2 linked regions of the Macaca fascicularis genome follow. The protein of the gene in region 2 purifies or fractionates together with the protein of the main gene of each other region. This does not show direct contact. Links are inferred from orthologs where the notes say so. Each region holds a gene or a part of one and is shown on either strand. Other genes may lie near its edges. The genes, in order: UBTF and SIRT7.

Evidence for each region.
Region 1: the proteins of SIRT7 (region 2) and UBTF purify together in Homo sapiens (affinity purification with western blotting; 3 studies listed by BioGRID, with this or other methods). This does not show direct contact. The link is inferred for Macaca fascicularis from reciprocal best matches to the Homo sapiens genes SIRT7 and UBTF.

What each region holds. Positions count from the first base shown.
Region 1 is NC_088390.1:65,265,789-65,275,266, forward strand, and holds part of UBTF (nucleolar transcription factor 1), read right to left. Parts: intron 8,873-9,478; coding exon 8,697-8,872; intron 8,095-8,696; coding exon 8,011-8,094; intron 7,907-8,010; coding exon 7,751-7,906; intron 5,384-7,750; coding exon 5,319-5,383; intron 5,041-5,318; coding exon 4,920-5,040; intron 4,561-4,919; coding exon 4,450-4,560; intron 4,114-4,449; coding exon 3,980-4,113; intron 3,855-3,979; coding exon 3,713-3,854; intron 3,439-3,712; coding exon 3,397-3,438; intron 3,305-3,396; coding exon 3,191-3,304; intron 3,101-3,190; coding exon 2,945-3,100; intron 2,617-2,944; coding exon 2,461-2,616; intron 2,380-2,460; coding exon 2,269-2,379; intron 1,880-2,268; coding exon 1,791-1,879; intron 1,687-1,790; coding exon 1,497-1,686; intron 1-1,496. UniProt on the Homo sapiens protein: Recognizes the ribosomal RNA gene promoter and activates transcription mediated by RNA polymerase I (Pol I) through cooperative interactions with the transcription factor SL1/TIF-IB complex.
Region 2 is NC_088390.1:88,293,484-88,303,706, forward strand, and holds the start of SIRT7 (NAD-dependent protein deacetylase sirtuin-7), read right to left. Parts: upstream 5,198-10,223; 5' UTR 5,162-5,197; coding exon 5,069-5,161; intron 4,998-5,068; coding exon 4,860-4,997; intron 4,748-4,859; coding exon 4,643-4,747; exon of another isoform or gene 3,799-4,642; intron 2,896-3,798; exon of another isoform or gene 2,215-2,895; coding exon of another isoform or gene 2,092-2,214; coding exon 2,021-2,091; intron 1,923-2,020; coding exon 1,850-1,922; intron 1,141-1,849; coding exon 1,042-1,140; intron 969-1,041; coding exon 732-968; intron 606-731; coding exon 525-605; intron 321-524; coding exon 214-320; intron 1-213. Other genes in the region: transcription factor MafG, read right to left, coding at 9,728-10,180. UniProt on the Homo sapiens protein: NAD-dependent protein-lysine deacylase that can act both as a deacetylase or deacylase (desuccinylase, depropionylase, deglutarylase and dedecanoylase), depending on the context. Specifically mediates deacetylation of histone H3 at 'Lys-18' (H3K18Ac).

The sequences.
Region 1 (9,478 bases), about 23 Mb from region 2:
TCTCGGCTCACTGCAAGCTCCGCCTCCCGGGTTCACGCCATTCTCCTGCCTCAGCCTCCCGAGTAGCTGGGACTACAGGCGCCCACAACCGCGCCCGGCTAATTTTTTGTATTTTTAGTAGAGACAGGGTTTCACCGTGGTCTCGATCTCCTGACCTTGTGATCCGCCCGCCTCGGCCTCCCAAAGTGCTGGGATTACAGGCGTGAGCCACCGCGCCCGGCCTCCAATTTTTTTTTGAAACAGGGTCTTGCTCTGTGTCCTGTGTCACCCAGGCTGGAGTGCAGTGGCACAATCTCAGCTCACGACTTGGCCTTCTCAGGCTCAAGTGAGCCTTCCAACTCAGCCTCCAGAGTAGCTGGGACTACAGGTGTGTGCCACCACACCATGCTACCTTATAATCATTTTTGTAGAGACAGCAGTCTCACTATGTTGCCCAGGATGGTCTTGAACTCCTGGCCTCAAGTGATCCTTCATACCTTGGGCTCCCAAAGTGCTAGGATTACAAGCGTGAGCCACTGCACTGGCCCAAGCTCTAGTATTTCTGCTTCTGATGCCCAGAGTCCTTCTATAAACCACTAAGACTGTTGGTTTTCACATTCACCCTATTGCTCTACACAAATGGAAGCTCCTATCAGAGTCTTCCTCACTCTTCCTCACTCCAAAGAAGTGCCCCTGTGATAAGTCAGCCTGGCATCATCAACCACACCCCAACATCAAACCCTTGAGCCACTGATGAGGCAGTGGGGCTCGCCAAGCTCCTGAAACAGCAAATCCCCACAATCTTCCTGGGTCCTTGGCCAATGTGCCTTGGTGAGTGGGAAGGACACAGGTGATTCCCTCCACTTTTCAGATCTGACTACTCACCCAAAGCACAGAGGGGAAGCACAAAGGCCAGCAGTCTAGGAGAGGTCCCATGGTCCCAGATAGGGGAGGAAAAGGCAGTCTGATTTGGATTCTTCAACTTACTGTGTGACCTTGGACAAGTTACTTAACCTCTCTGAACCTTGGTTTCCTTATTTTTAAAAGGGTGATAGTGGCTGGGGACGGTGGCTCAAGCCTGTAATCCTAGTGCTTTGGGAGGCCAAGGTAGGCGGATCACATGAGGTCAGGAGTTCAAGACCAGCCTGCCCAACATACGGTGAAACCCCATCTCTACTAAAAATACAAAAATTAGCTAGGTGTGGTGGTGTGGTGCCTGTCTGTAGCCCCAGCTACTCTGGAGCTGTGGAAGGAGGATCGCTTGAACCTGGGAGGTGGAGGTTGCAGTGAGCCGAGATCACACCACTGTACTCCAGCCTGTGCAAGAGAGCAAGACTCTGTCTCAAAATATAAAAACAAAAGGGTGATAGTAACCGTTATCCTGCAGGATTGCGAGGGCATGGAATGAAATCATGAATGAGACCAGCCAGCACAAGTGGGTGGGTGGGCCAGGCTGGGCTGGTGCTGGCTTAGTCTGATGCCTCCCTGTTCCTTTCAAGGGCCCCTTGCTCTCTCACCTTGACCCAGAGGTCCAGATGCACCTTGTACTGCTTTTGCTGCTCCTCGGCCAGCTTTTTGTAGTGCTCCTTCTGGCTCTGGGAGATGCGCTGCCAGCGGCTGCCTATTTCCACCATGCGCTCCTTCAGCGGCAGGTGGTTCAGCTCCCCATTGGACAGCAGCTCCTGGGAGAACTTCTGGTAACCGTTCCTGGAAGGTGGGGGTGGTACAAGGAGGGTCAGGACCCCAACAAAGCAGCCCTCCAGCCCTGACCCTCCCCCACCTCCAGGGCAGGCTCCAGCCCCCAGGCTCACATGGGAGGCTTCTTGGGTTCTCCCTGGAATTTCATCTTCTTAGAAGAATTTGTAGCAGCTGGAGGTGCCCGCATCTCACTCAGCTCTCTCTGGAAGGAGAAAGGTCACATTCACCCCCCAGTCCCACCCCCAAAATACTGTTGCCTTCTGCCCCATGCCATCAGCACCTTAGCTGGCTGCCTTTTTCTGTGCTGGGGAGGAAAAACAGGTAGAGCTAGTGAGCAACCTCCTAACAGCTCACATCTGTAGCAGGCACCACAGTTTACAAGTGCTTTCACAACTGCTCGTGTCCCCCGAGTCAGCCTGGAGGCTAGCAATGTCACCCCCACCTTACTGATGAGAGACAGGGGTTCAGAGAAGGAAGCTGAGGCTTGCTGAGGGTCACAGACCAAGACTGGGCCTTCTTGCTCAGAGAGGCTCACCCAAAGGGGAGTGCTCGAGCTTTCAACAAATGGGGTGGCCCCAGCCCCATTCCTACCTCGTATCGCTTTTGGTCTTCGGCTGCCTTCTTAATCCACATCAGTTTCTCCTTCTTTTCCATGTTATTCCAGGTCATTTCCATGGCTTTCAAGGCCTTCACCCGGTCATTCTGAGGACCAACAAGGGTATCAGCCCTGGGAGGGGTCACCCGGGGCTGGAGGCTGCAGTACTACCTCTTCCCACCCGTCACCTTGAAGCGGGCCAGGTAGTCGCCGATGACACTCTGTTGCCAGATCTCCTCAGCTCTCTTGGGGGACTCGGGCAGCTTGCCCCTTTCCTCGCGCTCCCCGCCGGGCTTCCTCTCTGACTGAGCCTTGAGCGCCGCCTCCCGGGCCTTGTACTTGGCCTGCGGGGATGGCCCGGGCGTCAGCCTTCCACCCACCCCCAGGGGGCGCGCGCTCCCCGCGCAGCAGCTCAGGCGCACCCGCCAGCAGGCAGAGGCGTGGGCTGGTGCAGATGTCTCCCGCCTGGGGCTCGCCCCCGCCTGGCCCGCAGCGCTCAGCTGACAGCTTCCCGCCTTCCGGCTGCTGGGCGCCGGCCCCACGTCCCAGCCCAGGCACCGCGTGGCTCAGGCTGGCTGAGGCGGCCAGGGGCGAGGTGGCGCGGCCCGCCAAGGGGAGGAGGGGGCCCTGGCAGCCCCGCTGAGGGCACGGCGCTCCGCCAGGCAGCCTGACCTTCTTCTTCTCAGACAGGTCGTTCCACATTCGGGCCAGCAGGCGGGTCAGCTCGCTCTCGGAGAGCTCAGGCCGCTCCTCCTGCAGCTGCCGCCGCTTCTCCTCCGAGAAGATGAACATGGCCGACACGGGCCGCTTGGGCTTCTCGGAGCCGCCCTGTCCAGGTGCAGAGGGTCGGGGTCCGTGGTGCTGCCAGGGAGCCCAGTCTTGCCCACCCCCGCCTGCGCGGCCGCACCCTCTGCCCACCTTGCCCCCTTCCTGGGCTGGCTTCTTGGAGGCGGGGCTGGTGGCCTGCTTCTTGTTGATGTTCAGCATCTTCTCCTCCCCCAGGACCCGCTGCTGCTCCTCCTCAGGCAGGCTCTGGAGAGGAAAGAGGGGCACAGGGCTCACGAGGGCTCTGCCTGCCAAGCCCCAGTCCTCTCTGCCCACTGCCCTACCGGAGGAACACTTACCTCCAGGAAACGGAGCAGCTCCACCTCGTAATCTTTCTTTTTCTGGGAAAGTGAGTGGAGTCAGGATCATTCTGGTGACAGTGTCACCACAGACCCTGCAGTACTCAGAGGACAGTGACCTTCAGTGGGCCTCCAGAGCCTGGGTGTGGGCTGGACTCCCTGCCTGGATGGGCTCAGTTGCTAAGCCCAGCCCAGCCCCACACCGAATTGGAGGCAAGTACCCAAGGCACACGCCACCAGGGACTGACTAGCCCAAGATGGGATCAGACCTCATGCTTCAAAACCCCAAGGCAGGGTGGCCCCTGCCACAGCTCACCTGGTCACACTTCTTGTGATAGGCGTCCTTCTCCTTCTGGGACAGCAGCTTCCACTGCTGGCTGCACAGCACCATGCGCTCCGTGCTGGGCACGTCCTTCATGTTGGCCATGAGCTCTGCGCAGTACAGCGAGTAGCTGTTCCTATCAGAGCCATGGGGAGAGAGGCGCAGCCCGTGAGCAAGCAGGACAGCAGGCCGCCTCACCCGTAGAGCCCAGCCCAACTTCCCAGCTGCCCACTCGCCCACCCACCCCAGGGCAGCACTCACGGAGGTGGCTTAGTGGGTCGCCCATCAAACTTGTCCTTGAGCTGGCGTTCAGCTTTGGTGAGGGTGGACTTGGTGATACCCTCCTCACTGATGTTCAGCTCTGGGTGCTTCTGGATATAGTCTCTCATGATCTCCTGCAGAGCCAGGTGGGGGGATGGAGGGCAATGGGGTGTGGGGTTAGCTGCGGCAGGGGCACGGGGAGAGCCGCTGGGGAGGGCAGGCAGGGAGCAAAGCTGGGAATGGCTGCGCGTCAATGGTGTCACATGAGACATGGTGCCCTGCCCTGCCCTAGCCTGAGATCTCATAGGGGTGGGGGGTGGGGAAGGTAGGGGCAGAGGTGAGGGGCCCAGAAGGCCCCTCCCTCAACAGAGGATGGGGAGTGACACCTCCCGCAGAGTGCGGTGGCCACGGAGTCAGAGGGCAGAGGCTCGTGAAGAGCCGGACAGGGAGGAGCGCAGCGGAAGCCTAACCTCGTACTCCTTCCGCTGCTCCAGGGCCTTATGAATCCATTTCAGCCTCTTTTTGTCCGAGAGCTGAGACCACTGCTTCCCCAGGGAGTCCTTCACCTCCTTCGTAGTGGCCTGCAAACCAAAAGCCGTCAGACACGCACAGGCAGCCAGGGGCAGGGGGAGGGGGAGGGGGGAAGGGGGCACAGATGCCCCCGCCCCCTCAGGCCATGGGAGGTCACATCAGTGTCCCCCACAGGCCAGGAGGGGAAGGCGGAGAGGCGGCAATCCCGCCTAGGTGCAAGGGGACTGGCTCATACACGCACGCACGCACACGCTCGCACGCCAGCTGGCCCGGGCCCTGTCCATGCAGCCCACCCCTGGGGAGGGGCCTCCTCTCCTGCTCCCCTGCACCGTGCCCGGCCGACCTGGTGCGGCTCCCCCCTGGCCACCGCCGTGCATCCTCCATCCCCAGCCCTTGGCCGGACACTCACATCTGGCCGCACTTTGAGATACACCTTCTTCTCGTGGGTGTACCACAGCTGCTGGGGGGTTTTGGGCTTCTCTGGGATGTCCGATTTCTTGGCATTCTGGATTAGGTCGGGGTGATCCTCCCTAGCCAGGACATGGGGAGCAAGGATCAGCAGGGGACGCTGTCAGGGCAGACCCAAGCTAGCTGCCCCACCCACCAAGCCTCCTGGGCCTTTCAGCTGGGGCTTAGTGGGACAGTGGCTGCCTGCCTGTCCCTGCCCCTGAGCATGACACACTAGGGCTCACATGTGACCCATCCTCTTCCATGCCTCAGAGATGGCAAACTCCAGGCTCTGGCCAGGGTTAGCCTATTCTGCTGCCCCCAGTTCCCCATAGCCCTCCTCTGGGCTCCACTGCCTTACCTGAATCGGGCCAGGTTTCGCTCGAACTCCTGTTTCTCTCTCTGGAAGTCCTGAATATATTTCATCTGGGGGGAGGAGGGGATAGGGTCACCCAGGACCCAAGGGTATCTTGCCCTGAGCTATGAAGGCTACCCAGGCCCCTCCTCGCTGGCTCTTCTGCCTCCCACGCTGTGATGCAGGGAGTGGAGGCTGGTGCCCTGCCCGCCTCCCGGCGGGACTCACCACAGAGCAGACCTGCTGGCTTCTACCACAGATGGTGGGAGCTGCAGGGGCTGCCCAGACACTGAATCCTATATCCTATTCTCTCCTTCTGAGCGAGAGTCCCAGAAGGGGGCCATGGCATTACCCACAGTCACACAGTGCGTGGTGGCAGCGCTGAGGCTCCCCCACTCGTTTCTCCAATACCACAGAACTCTCACAGTGGAGTCGGGTGCAGGCCTTGCTCCCTCTTCTCACTGTCTGAGGCAGCTGACATTAGTCTGGCCCCTTGGAGGTGGCCTCTACATAGGGCCAGGGCTGGGCTGAGTCCTATTTCCAAGGCATGAAGGGAGATTGTGTGGAGGGGAACCCAGAGTAAGTTCTTCCAATACAAGTCACAGCCAGCTGCCCTGCACCTTCCCGCCTATTTCTGACACCATTACCTTCTTCCCTTTCTCTAGGATCCCAGCTGTCTGTCCCCTCCAGCCCTCCCTCCCTCAGCCCACTCATTCTCTCCCACCACTTGGCTTCCCTTCCCTTCATCACCCCCTTTTTGGCCTCCCCACTGCCTTCCCACCCTCACCTCACTCCCTCCCTGCATCTTTCCCCACTTCTGCAAAGTCTCCCTCTTGTTCCTCCTTTCCAATGTGTCTCTTTCTCTTCATCAACCTCCTCTCTTGGCTGCCACGCAATGTCCATCTCTTCTTTCATCCTCGCAGGCTCACAAGAGTGGCACTGGCAGGTGCCAGGAGCTCATGGCAATTGAGCCCAACCCGCCTCTTATAGAAGCACCAGACAGAGAGAGGCAGCGCTCCTCTCCCATAGTTCCCACAGAAAACCAGAAGCAGAGCTCAGCCTCCTCTTCTCCAATCTCAGTCCTCCTCAGACAAAACAGTTTTAGAGCTGGAGAACACCACACAGACCTGGCTCACCTCACATAAGGACCAGGCCCAGAGAAGTAAAATGACTTACCAAAGGCCCCATACACAGCGATTCAGTGGCAGAGCCAGGAGAACAGGCCCAAGTCTTGTGCCCCCCAGGACAGCACCTCATCCACTCTACCAGTTTATTCTGGCCTTCCCTGACTCTGACTCTAGAGCTTGGCCTCTCCCTCCCATCCCATGAGTGTCTGGGTGTGTGCAGTCAACTGTCCAACATCCTTATCAAAAGAGTCAACAACAGTTCCAGCAATCCATACCCCTGCTCTGCTTGGGCAGTGGTTGCAGACAGCTGGCTTTTTTGGGTACAGCACCAAGGGCATGTCAGTCTGCAGCCAGGGCATGCCAACCAGGAAAAAGGGCTACTAATAGCATAGCGGCGGCTGGTGCCACCTTTTGAGAACTGGCTGTGTGTGGCTTTGTTTCCTCTCCAAGCAGATGTGCTCCTTGTCTTTCCCGCTGCCCTTCCCCATCTATCCCTGGCTCTGTCTCCTTGTCCAGTGTCTCTTGTGTCCCCTGTCCCCATCCCATCTTCCTCATGTCCCATCTGCAGGGCTCCTCCAATGTTTTGCTGCCTTTCTCTGGGAGGGACCTTCTGAGCTCTGTGCTGCAGTCCTGCCTGGGAGGCTTGGGCAACCCTCCAACCAGGGTTAATGCTTTGATGGTCTGGGACAGTGCCCGACCTCTGCAAGGAACAGTATGAGGCCAGGAGGGACAATGTGTGTCCTTGAGTGAACATGTGTGTGTGGAGAAGGAAGTGCACTTCACAGGTGGACATGGCAGTAACAGCACTGGACTGGGACTCTGGGGCACTAAATCCTGCTCTAGTATCAATAGTTGTGTCACCTAGGACACTTAACCCTCCTGCACCTCAGTTCCTTGCCCACAAAACTGGGATAACCTTTTCCTGGGGTTACCTTCATGAAGACATCGCAAGTATCAGATGAGACCATGACGGGAAACGTCATAGAGAGTGAAGAAGTGCTGCGCAGCCTAACAGTGAGGATGGGTGTATGGGGGAGAGAGCCTGATGAAACAGAATGCTGTGGGTTTTCTGTAGGGGGAAAGGTTGGTCTGAGCATCTGCTGTCTGAGCATCTGTGGTGGTGCCTGTGCCTGAACATGTGTGGGCCGAGGAAGGGGCGATCAGGTGTGCCTGCCCAGGACCTACTCTGCTGTGCTGACTCACCCTCGTCCCTGATGCCAGGTCTCTCCAAGGCCTACCTCCAACCGACCCACACCACACCAGCTGCTCCCAGCCTCTCCCCTCCTCCCACCTTAACTCTCCTCCCCCCACCTTCTTCTTCTCCGGAAGCTCCTTGTATTTCTTGGACAGAATCTTGGTTAGGTCCAGGTTGCTCATCTCAGGGTGGAGTTTCGCATACTTGGCCCGCTTCTCCATGAAGAAGCGGAAATAAGGGGTCAGGGGCTTCTTTGGGAAGTCTGGGTGTTTCTGGAAGAAGGGACAAGGAACAAGGACACAATGGAGGTCAAATACCATCCGTTCTTTGGATCTTTCCTCCCCTACCCCTCATGCTCCTCCTTCTAGTAACTCACCTTCAGTTTTTTGCCTTTGTAAGGATTTTTAACATGTTCCTGAGCATCGAGGATCAATTCTGTCAATGTACGGAACTTCCTCACCTGGAAGAAGAGGGGCGGGAGGAAGGGGAAGTTGGGAAAAGGAAAATGCCACACAGTAGCATACCCCCATCTTATAATGGGTCTCTTCTACTCTTTACTAGACTAAATTTACCAAAGAAGAGCAGAGGCCAACAGCCAAATGAAGCAGACTAAATTTACCAAAGAAGAGCAGAGGCCAACAGCCAAATGAAGCAGGCACCCTGACACCCAGGCACTGGCCCATGCCTACCACAGAGGCCCAGGCAGTCAGTACACACCAAAGGCCAGCAACAAAGGGACTACCTGACCTCAACCTGGTTGTCCATGCCAGCACCTCCTTCAATCTCAGCATGTTAGCACCTCTGTCAATCTCAGCACAGCTCAGGCTGTTCGGCTCAAGACCACCCAGATAGAAAGTGGCATAACTTTAAGCCAGTGCTGTCAACCGTGCCACCTCCCAAAATGCAAAGGGGCAGGTAGAGAGCTAACGTGCGACCACATGAACGCCTCTCCTGGTGTCTTTCCTTCCTGTTTACAGCCTGTTTCACTTCCCCTACCACGGCTGAGGAGGGGGTAATGTTTGTATATGTATGTGCGTGTGTCAGAAAGGGGGGATCAGTTACCTCGTTAGAAATCTCCACCCATTTGAGCTTGCACATGTCTCCAGAAAAGTCCTTAAATGCAACTTTTTCCCAGTCCATATGTGATTCGGTGGTTTTGAATTTGGAGCTGTCATTGGATGGAAGGTTGTTCTTCATGCATTCCAGCAAAGTCAGCATGTCTTCCTGGGACCAACGGTCTGGTGAAGGGTAACAGAGGCCATCATGCCTGGCTCATGCTATCCCCCAAATCTGTTCCCCAGTTCTTGAGTGCTCAACTCTTCCTCCCTAGGGCATCCCAGCCCCTGATTGCTTCCCATCTGAAGGCAGAGACAAGATATGGCTCAGCCCTAAGGAAACTGTGGCCATACTGGATGAGGGCAGGGACTCCAGTCCAGACCATGCTATACCTAGAAAGCCAGGCTCAAACTCAAGTCTGGCTTGCTTCAAAGCTATTATCATTTCTACTGTGCCAAGCTGCAACAGGCAGCTATTTGCTATAAGGGGAAGAGGGGTGGAAATGAAGGTACAGTGATTCAGGACTTTGTGGGAAATGAGATAGCTTGTCAGAGGAGGGAAGCAAGGAGGCATTGTATCTAAATGTGCTGCCAAGTTCAAGTTCTGAGTGGATATTCTAAATGTGCAAGGACTGAGGATGGGGTGTGGGCAGTAGGGAAAATTCATGCACATGTTTCTCCTGCACAGCTGGAGACTGATGTTAGAGATACCCACTATCCCCTGGCCCCTCAAGGCAGATCAAGGGAGAATTTCTGGCAAATAAGAAAAAAGAAACAGAAACAGAAGCA
Region 2 (10,223 bases):
TGTGTGCCACATCAGCCAGGGCAGGAGTGGCACACGCAGGGTCTCCGCGAACCACTGAGGTCAGGCCCTCTGGAGACCACCACGCTTCAGTCATGCCTCAGACACCGCTGCAAACACCTCAGAGCTTCCTCCACGCTCAGCTCACGAGAGAAGACAGACACGGCCCAGCACACAGAGGTGCAGGGAAGCGGGCTGCTGCAATGGTCTACTCACCTGCTATAGGCGGGGATCTCCAAGCCCAGCTCGGCCATGAGGAGCCGCATGACATCATCACACTTCCCGTGTAGCTTCAGGGCAGCCCAGTCATCCTTTGGGGTCCACTGAGGACAGGGAAAGCCAAGTGAGAGTAAGAGCAGCCCGACCATTCCTGGTGGCCTGTCAGCCTCGGCCCGTGGGCTCGGTCAGTGCTCCCTGAGCACCCACGGGGGCCCTATCAGACTGCCCTGGTGCATGGGTGTGGGGTGTCTCCAGCTCTGCATTCTAAGACCCAGGTCTAAGGATGTGACTCTCAGAACCCAAGTTACCTGCAAGTTCACAATGTAGAGTTTCGGCCGCCGGCTAGGGGGCTTGGTCATGCACCAGAGGCGTGGGTACTTCTTTAGAACCTGCGGAAACAGACAGACAGACACAGCACACACACAGGGGACAAGTCTGTAAAGTGCTGGGCAACAGAGCTGGACACCCTCGGGCAGGCGGGGGCTCGGCTCATTCCTGGTATCATCAGCACGTACCTTCAGGCTGGACCCTAGACACAGGATGGTGTCTGCTCTGCTGGCAGCCTCAGTCGCTGCTTCCCAGTTCAGAGGCTGCCCCAACGTCCCCCTCTCTCCAAAGTGCACAATGGTGTCCCGGAGCTGGGTCCCACACTTGTGGCAGGTCCGGCCTGTCTGGTGTCTGTGGAGGGCGGTGCGTTCCGTCACATCGAACACTCGCACGTACTCCCTGTTGGGAATGCAGGAGGTGCAGACCTGGAGGCAAGAGGGCACAGTGAGTGGGACCCGCCTGCCCATGGAGACCCCGGGTCACCGCAGGACTGCTCACTTCAATGTACATGTTCCCGTGGAGCTCTGAGATGGCCGTGCGCGGCAGCCCACTTCTCAGGTGGAGCCCGTCACAGTTCTGAGACACCACATGCTGCACCTGGAAGGCAGACGGGTGGCGACGGCGAGGTCAGTACTCAGCCACAGCGAGGCTGTTATGAGCCCAGCCAGTGGCTCCCAAGACCAGGGGTAGCTCCAACCCCGCAGAGAGCCTTAGAAAGTAAAACACACAACAGGTCCAACCACCAGGACTCAAGAGGGCCTGTGGTGGGGAGGGGCTATGTCCCTCCTCCAGCCCTGATGCACCTGGAGTGGCTGGGAGGGCAAGACGCTGCACCGTCAAGGCAAGGATGGGAAGTGGCTCAGGGCTTTGGCAAGGGCCACTCCACCCCGGATCCATGCTCTCTTGGGTCATGACATTTCAGGTGCCTCGGGACCTAGGCAGGTCAACCCCTACACCCCTTGGTTGAGGGTGTTCAGCAGAAGGTCCCCAGAGATGTCCTATAAGCCTCCCCTGTAACTAGGATGGCTTCTGAGGTCCACAGAAAAATGCAATGGAATCACAAAGGGGAAAGACCACCAGCAGCTCTGGGGCTGAGGCTGGCTGTGGATGGGATGGTTCCAGAGGGGGTGCTCCCCTTTTGTCCTGGAGAGGAAGCATGGGAGGATCAAATCTGGGGCCTAACCCACTTGGTGGGTGCTCATGATGGGAGTCAACTGGCAGACGGAGGGAGAATGCAGTTGCCCACTGCGCACCAAGGTGCTCTGCCTGGTCCCAGGCAAGTGTACCAGCCACCCAGGGTTCTTACCAGCTTCTGCTCATGCAAACGGGTGATGCTCATGTGGGTGAGGGTTGGCTCGGCCTCACTCAGGTCAGCGGCACTGCCAGGCAGAAAGGAAGGCAAGGTGAGGACAGCCGGAGCTCAGGCCCATGCTGCCTCTGCTCAGCCTATATGGGAGGCCGCGCCTGTCCCACTTACCTCACGCTTCTCCCTTTCTGAAGCAGTGTCCACACTCCATTAGGGCCCCTGTAGTCTGGGATAGATGCTGCCTGCATGTCGAGAAAAAAAGTAAGCCAAGTAAAAAGGCACCACCGTAGGCACTGGCAGAATTCCCAGAAATGGGAAGCCATTGTCACTCCTGCCACATTCCAGGCCGGCCTGCATGTTGGCATCTGTTCATTCCACAGGCTGACCTGCCTGAGCCCATATGAAGTGCACCCCAATTCGGCTCCTCCCTTCTACCTGGACTTCTGTTTCCCGCCTGGCCTGGCTCATCCTTCCAGGCTGCACGCAGCCCTGCCTGTCCCCGGAAGCCTCTCTGGCACCGAGCACAAAGCTGGGCTCTGTGGCACATGTGTCCTCCACACCGCAGGGGAAGACTAGTCATGTTCCTAAGTGCCCCCAGGGCCGAGCCCACGGCTCACACATTTAGCAAAAGGTGAATCCCTGCTGGGCGCGGTGGCTCAAGCCTGTAATCCCAGCACTTTGGGAGGCGGAGACGGGCAGATCACGAGGTCAGGAGATCGAGACCATCCTGGCTAACACAGTGAAACCCCGTCTCTACTAAAAAATACAAAAAAAATAGCCGGGAGAGGTGGCGGGCGCCTGTAGTCCCAGCTACTCGGGAGGCTGAGGCAGGAGAATGGCGCAAACCCGGAAGGCGGAGTTTGCAGTGAGCTGAGATCCAGCCACTGCACTCCAGCCTGGGCAACAGCACGAGACTCCGTCTCAAAAAAAAAAAAAAGGTGAATCCCTAGGTGGGGGCAGGCAACTGTCTATTCTCACGTCCCAGTGCTGACTGTTCCCGCTCCACCTTAACAAAGGCAGAATAGGCGGGGCGCGGTGGCTTATGCCTGTAATCCCAGCACTGTGGGAGGCCCAGGTGGGTGGATCACAAGGTCAGGAGATCGAGACCATCCTGGCTAACATGGTGAAACCCCGTCTGTACTAAAAACACAAAAAATTAGCCAGGCGTGGTGGCGGGCACCTGTATTCCCAGCTACTTGGGAGGCTGAGGCAGGAGAATGGCGTGAACCCGGGAGGCAGAGCTTGCAGTGAGCCGAGATCGCGCCACTGCATTCCAGCCTGGGCGACAGAGCCAGACTCCGTCTCAAAACAAACAAACAAGCAAACAAACAAAAAAAGGCAGAACAACTTCTCCAGATGAGATAAGCATCTAACTTTCCAGGATTTCAATCCTGTGAAACAAACTGAGGCCAGAGAGGGCACAGAAGATATCAAGGTGCCTTCTGTTCCCTTTTGGGGACTCCTGACTCCTGCTTAAACTCAGAAAAATGCACCATCCCCCGGCAGTGGTTTGGACAGTCACATTCAAGATAGAAACCTCAGTTACACTCAGATGAAATCCACAAGCTGCATGTGCTTCTAGTTGCCATTGCAAGCTCCATAAGAGATCACATGACTGTTACATAATTACATGACTGGACTTTTTTTTTTTTCTGAGACAGAGTTTCGCTCTGTCGCCCAGGCTGGAGTACAGTGGCACGATCTAGGCTCACTGCAACCTCCGCCTTCCAGTTTCAAGTGATTCTCCTGCCTCAGCCTCCTGAGTAGCTGGGATTGCAGGTGCCTGCCACCACACCCGGCTAATTTTTGTATTTTCAGTAGAGACAGGGTTTCACCATGTTGGCCAGGCTGTTCTTGAACTACTGACCTCATGATCTGCCCACCTCAGCCTCCCAAAGTGCTGGGATTACAGGCAAGAGCCACCGCGCCCAGCGTGACTGGACTTTTACATGTGACTTGTGGAGGGAGGAGACCAAACGCCAGGGCTCCAGGTATTTGAGTCAGCAGTGCACTCCCTTTATGCATTCTTCCTGCTAAGCCTCTGCTCTTCTTTGCTTGGAGTGCCTCATTCCCACCTTCTCCTGTAAATCTCACCCATCCTTCAAGGCCCAATCAAGGCTACCTCCCACAAAAAGCCAACCCAGGTAGGTTTCCCAACTCCAAGAGCACATAGTGTGTGCCTGGGTTTGTTCTAGTGATTCAGCACAGCCAGCTTTACATTATGCTTATTTGTTCACATACCTGATTGTCACCTAAAGGCTTCCTGAGAACAGAAATCACCTGGCCTTCAGATCTGCTACGCCTACGCATGCCCAGCACTCCACACTCACCCATCGGACTAGATGGACGACGTGCCAGCTACACTTTCAAAGCTAGTGATGTCCCACAGCCCAGGATAACTTGTCAGTGAAACTTCTCAAAACACAATGCAATTCTCTTCTTCACCTGGTGTATTCCGGCTCTTACTGTGTCACTTTCTACTTATCTTCCCTCAACATGGAGAGAACACAGTGGAGAATCACGACAGCTTTGGGCTTAGCTCTGTCCACATAACCTGGGGGTGACTGCGAGCAGTCAGCTACTACAGCCCATTCGTATCTCTGCTCCTTGCCTGTTTTTAACTGGCTGTACCACAAACTAAGCGTTTAAAAAGCGTTTACCTTAGGTAAGTTTTGGTCATTTCGTGTTTCTCTAAGAAAGGGAAAAAACCTTAAAGCTGCTTTAAAGGCGAGTTTTTCGCGATTACAGGAGCGCGTACTCCGTCCTGGGGTCCGCCCCCGCCTCCCTCCCTACCGTGCTGATTCCCGCGCCTGTGTAGACGACCAAGTATTTGGCGTTCCGGACGGCGCTGGCCAGCTCCCGGACCTTCCCTCGCAGCTCCTCCGGGTCGTCGCACACCTGCCAAGACGCCAGGGTGGTCACCGCCCCGGGCCGCCCCACCCGGGACCGCCCGTCGCCCCGGCTGCTCCCGAAACCGGGGGCGCCCGCGGCCGCCGCCCGCGGAACTCGCCTCCTCCTGCCGCCGCTTCAGGCCCTCGCGCCGCCGGCTCCGGCCCTGCAGCTCCGTTACCAGGTCCGCGCTCTCGGCCAGCAGCCGGCCCTCCTCGGCGCTGCGCTCCGCCGCCGCCTTTCTCAGGATGCGCGACACCTGCGGGCAGGCGGGCGGTGAGCGGCGGCGCGGGCCGGGCATAGCCGGACCGGGGAGCGACGGCGGCGTACCTGGCGGAGGCGCTCCCTCTGCTGCTCCTCCCGCAACCTTCGGACCCGCTCCGCAGCTTTGCGTTCCGAGCGGCTCAGACCCCCGGCTGCCATCGCTCCCCTGGAGACCCGCTCTTCCGCTTCCGCCTCACACGGCAGGCCGCGCTCAGGGCGCATGCGCAAGACGGGTCCCGCCCCCACCCACCTCTTCCGGCTCCGCCCGCCGCGTCGCCCCAAAGAAGCACCTGCCAGTCTCTTTAAAAGGTTTATTGATCATATACAAAATAAAGAAAACCTTATATATCACAAACATACACTATGTACAGCAATAAATACCCGGGGGGCCAGGCCCAGTGCTGCCCCTCCTGGACAATAATTTAGCAATAAATACTGCGCAGGGCAGGGGTGGGGCACCAAGGCCACTGCCCTGCCCGAGGTCAGGCCCCTGCCAGCCCTACACGAAGTGTGAGCGCTCGGGCCTCACCCCGCATCCAAACCCCAGCCCCTCCTCACTTAGATCTTTAATAACCTCCATCCCACCCCAGCACATCCCGGGGTCTTCTCCCACACACACACAACCTCCCCTGGCTAGACCTAGGCAGGGCTGGCAGGGGGACTGATCAACTCTGCTTGGATCCACCTCTCAGTGCCAGGAGAGCAACAGGGCTGGACACGCGGGCAGCCCTTGTCCTGTTGCCAGGAGAAGGCTTTCTGTGCCCACTCCCGTTTGGTTAAAGGCTTCAGGGACTAGCAGATTGAGGGGGTGGGAGGAAGGGCAGGGATGGGACACAAGGTTGCTGGAGGGGTCAAAGCCCAACTGGGGTCACCAAGAACAGGGAGGTCTCACAGTTTATCAGGGACACACTCTAGCTCAGACTCAAGGGACACCCATGGTATCAAAGCTGCTGCTCCAGGGGCAGGGTGGAAATGTGTGGGACTGGCCCAGCAGGTACGGCACACACCCAGGACACAGGCCAGAGGCAGGACAGGCATCAGTCTCAGACATGCCCTGCCTCTGTGTGGCACTGATTATGTACTTCACTCTCCCGACCTGCTCCAAGGCCAGACAGCCAACAGGAAGGCAAAAATACACCAAAAAGAATTATTCAGTGGCTTCTGGGGGGAAAAATCGTTAATGTGTTGGTTCCTTTCACCAAACCACAGCCTAAAAAAGTAACTCACAAGATCCCAGAGCGGAAACGGTGCAGCAGGCCGCAGCTCAGACTTTCCAGATGTGGATGGGAGCTTTGGCCAAGTGGCCACTCCAGAGGGAGGCAGCAGGGACAACATGGGACCTGACCATCGTCCCAAAGCAGGCTGCAGCCGCTCAGAGCCGTGGGCCGGGCCCTGACCACCGGTCAGAAGTGTGCATGCTTATCTGAAACGTGCACCAAGAGCTGAAGCCCCAGCAACACCAGCGCCACCCAGAGCAGCAGCCAGGGGCCTCACTCTCCAGGTGAGAGGTGACTTGTCCCTGCTGGGTAGTCCTCTGAAATCTGAGTGTCCATGTTAGGATAAAGGAGGAGTTGGGGCAAAGTCAAGGTGGAAGGGAAGACATATATCACGGTTTACTTGGCGGACAAGTTTGAGAGACCTGGCCTTGGCCAAAGCCCTCGATTCGCTGTGTCAGAAAAACTGAGGTGAGAAGAGACCACCACCCTCTCAGTAGGAAAGCGGGATTAACAGAGATCAGAAGGACAGCACATTCACATCTGCACATGAACACAGCATCTACGTCAGGAAATCCAGGGGAAGGGGAAGAGGGGCAGAGTGGCTCCACAGGGCTGGCCTGACAGGGGACAGGAACACTCCCCTAGACCCAGGGAAGTCGCTCCAAATCCAAAGCTCTTGAAAGGAGGTATGGCCTCGAAACTCCAGAAGCCTCTTCTGCCAACGCACCGAGGACCTGCACCTCCCACTCAGCACCTGCACCTCCCATTCAGCACCTGCACCTCCCACTCAGCACCTGCACCTCCCATTCAGCACCTGCACCTCCCATTCACACGCGCCGACCCTTACACCCTCCTCTTCCGCACTCCCTTTGCCTCCAGGTCTGCAGCCTGGCAGAGGTGCTCAAAATGGAGGGCCACCCGCAGCCAGGACAAAAGTGGGGGCCGCACAAGGACAGGGAGCGCCTGTTTATCCCTGCTCCAAGGCAGAGCATGACGTTTTCTTTATGGATACTTATGATTCCAACTAACGCCTGGATTCTACTTAGACAAGATCAGACTGAGGGGAGGGGGATGAAGTCACTAAATGACATGAATCAACAGCCAGAATTTCCATTTTCAGGCTGACCCAGGTAGCAACAGGACTTGTCTCTGAATGCTCAAAGCAAAGAAAAGCTCATGAAGATGACAAGGGTTGATGGTACATCCCTGTTCCCATCTCATGGGCACACCAGGCCAAACTCTTAGATCAAAATCCCACCACCCACAGGGTTAAGCCCCGTCAGGCCAGTTTTTCATCTTACCAGCCCCCATTTGTGTGCTTTACAGCAGTCTGGGCCCCACAGAGAAGAAACCAGCAGCCCTGGTGAAAGGCCAAGGCTCACATGGCCAGACACGGGGCTGCAGCCTCTTGGAGGTGGGTGGGGGCACCCCTTCCCCGTCATATGCCTATAAGGAGCCTCCTGAGCCCAGCCAGGAAGGGCAGCAGCCTCTGGTGAGGAACTGGGAGCAGGAGGCAGGTTGGGCCCCCAGAGGGAGGCACCTCCAGCAGAAGCCAAGCAGCTGATCCCTGGAAGACAGATCCCAAAGGGAGGCAGAAGGCAGGCCCAAAGCCAAGAGCTGCCAGCGTGGACCAGCGGAGAAGAGGGACAAGACCGGCCCTGGAGACTGTAGCCCTTGTCTGCACTGGTGGACGCTCCCAAGACTCTGAGTGAGGCAGGGACAAGGAAGAAAGGGTTGCCCGGTGGGCCCCCAACCACTCTGCCTGGAAGCACCACCCGCAGCATGGAAAGACCTCAGGGATCAAGTAGGCGGCGAAACCTGCAGCCCACGGTGCGGGCCCCAGGGGTTCCCCGGCTGAGGCCCCACATGAAGCCTATCGGAACAAAACTGAGGCCTGAGGAAGACAGCCAGGGAACGCTTGGCCACAGCCCTGTGGCCACCCACAGTGACTCCTTGGTCCCTGCACCACCACCACCCAAGGCCAGAGGTGGTGGGTGTAGAGCAGTGTGGGGGGGCCCCAAGGGGCCCCCAGTTTCAGCTACCCGGCCACCAGATCAGCCCAAGCCCTAGACACAGATGTAGCCAAGGCTCAGTCGGGGGGGAGTGTGACAGAACCCCACGTCTCACCTCCTAGGGACCAGGAGCAGGTGGAGGGCACAGACTCGTTGAGCTCTGACGCAGCAGGTGCCACCTGGCACCCCAGCCCAGGTCCGGCAAGCCAGCAGAAGCAAAAGCACAACGAAACCCAAAAAACGAACACAGGAAAACTGACACAAGAAGTGACACCCACAGGTCGAAGGTCACCAGAAGCACCAGCACTTTACCGCTGCACAAAACCTCACCAGGCACGGACGACACCACGGCACCGGCAAGAGACGGAAGCAGGAAGGGCAGAGGAGTAAGTCACTTTCGGTACAATTGCAAAAGATATCAAAGAGGACGGCCTTCTGGTCGGCTCACGGCTTGGCTTTTTTTTTTTTGTCTTTTTTTAAACTAAGTTTTATAAATAATGTCTGATAACTCTGTGTATATAAAAACTAAACTCCAACAGCCACAAAGAGTTGTCCGTAAGTTTACAAGAAAGGGATTTTTTTTTTCTTTTTTTTTTAACTAGCAAAGTTTCTATTATACTTTCTTCCCTTTTCCATTTATATGGTCAAATGGTCTTCTTGCTTGTTTTTTTTTTTTCTAAAAGACAGTTTTATAAATACTCTGCAGCTCTTTTTTTCTTTAACTTTTAAACATATAATTAATTTAATAACTTTGTAAAAGGAACTTCTCTCTTTTAAATAAAGGGCTATATAACCACACAAATAGGTCATGTAAACAGTGACACGGGACCCATCGCAGGGCACACTGGACTCACCCTCACGTAAGTGCACAGCCAGCGATTTGGTCTTGTTCAGTGCAACGGGTCAGGCCTGAGCGCACAGCCCTTGGCCCCAACTGCACGCCCCCAGCACCACTGTGCCCAGGCTGGTGGTCCACCCATCAGGGCCTTCAAGGCAGCCCTACTCTCAGAGCAGAGCCCATCTCTTTGTGCTGGGCTAAGCTGAGCTGCCCTCCTGGGGCTAAAGAGAGTGAATCCTTCCCAGCCCACAAGCCTGTGGCCACTCGGGAGTGGAGGGCACACTGGAACCCTCACTGCTCGGGGACACGTGAGGCCCAGCGTGCCTTCTCCTTCTCTCTCCCGCAACTCTCTCAAGTCCATTCCCACAGCACCAACTCTGGACTCCAAGACTGCATGGCCCTGGTACAAAAGGGGTTGGCGCGACCCCACGTCACCGCCGAACTGACCAATCCCAACATACAAAACACACGACGACAATGACGAGATCAAAGGGGCTCAGCCCGGCGCCCCTGGGGTACAGGTTGTGCTTTGCAGGGAAGAGAGAAGGGCGGGGAAGAGAGGGAGGAAAGAGAAGAGAAGGAAACAGAGGGACAGGGCAGCCGAATTCGCCATGTGCCTAGTGGCCCCGCAAAGACCCGCCTGGGTAGACGCGCGTCCCTACGATCGGGCATCCGTCTTGGACTTTACTATTGTGATGACGCTGGTGGCGGCCACCTTGCCTGGGACGAGGGGCCCCAGGCCGGCGGCAAGGGGGCCCCGGGCGGGCGCCACGGGGCTGCGGGCCACCGTCCGGGCGAAGGTTTGCAGCGCCTCGTACTTGGAGCGCAGTGCGTCGAGCTCCAGCTTCATGCTGGCGTTCTCTGAGGCCAGCTTCTCCACCTCCTGCTGCAGCTCCGCCTTCTGCTTCTCCAGCTCCTCCTTCTGCGTCACCCGCTTCACGCGGCAGCTGGCAGCGTAGCCACGGTTCTTGAGCGTGCGCCGGCGCTGCTTCAGCTGGACGATCTCCTCCTTGGACAGGCCACGCAGGTGCTGGTTCAGCTCCCGCACCGACATGGTCACCAGCTCCTCATCCGTCAGGCTGGTGCCATTCTCACCCGGCTCCCGCTTCACCTGGGGCACAGGGCACAGGGTCACAGGCCAAGCGGGCATGCCC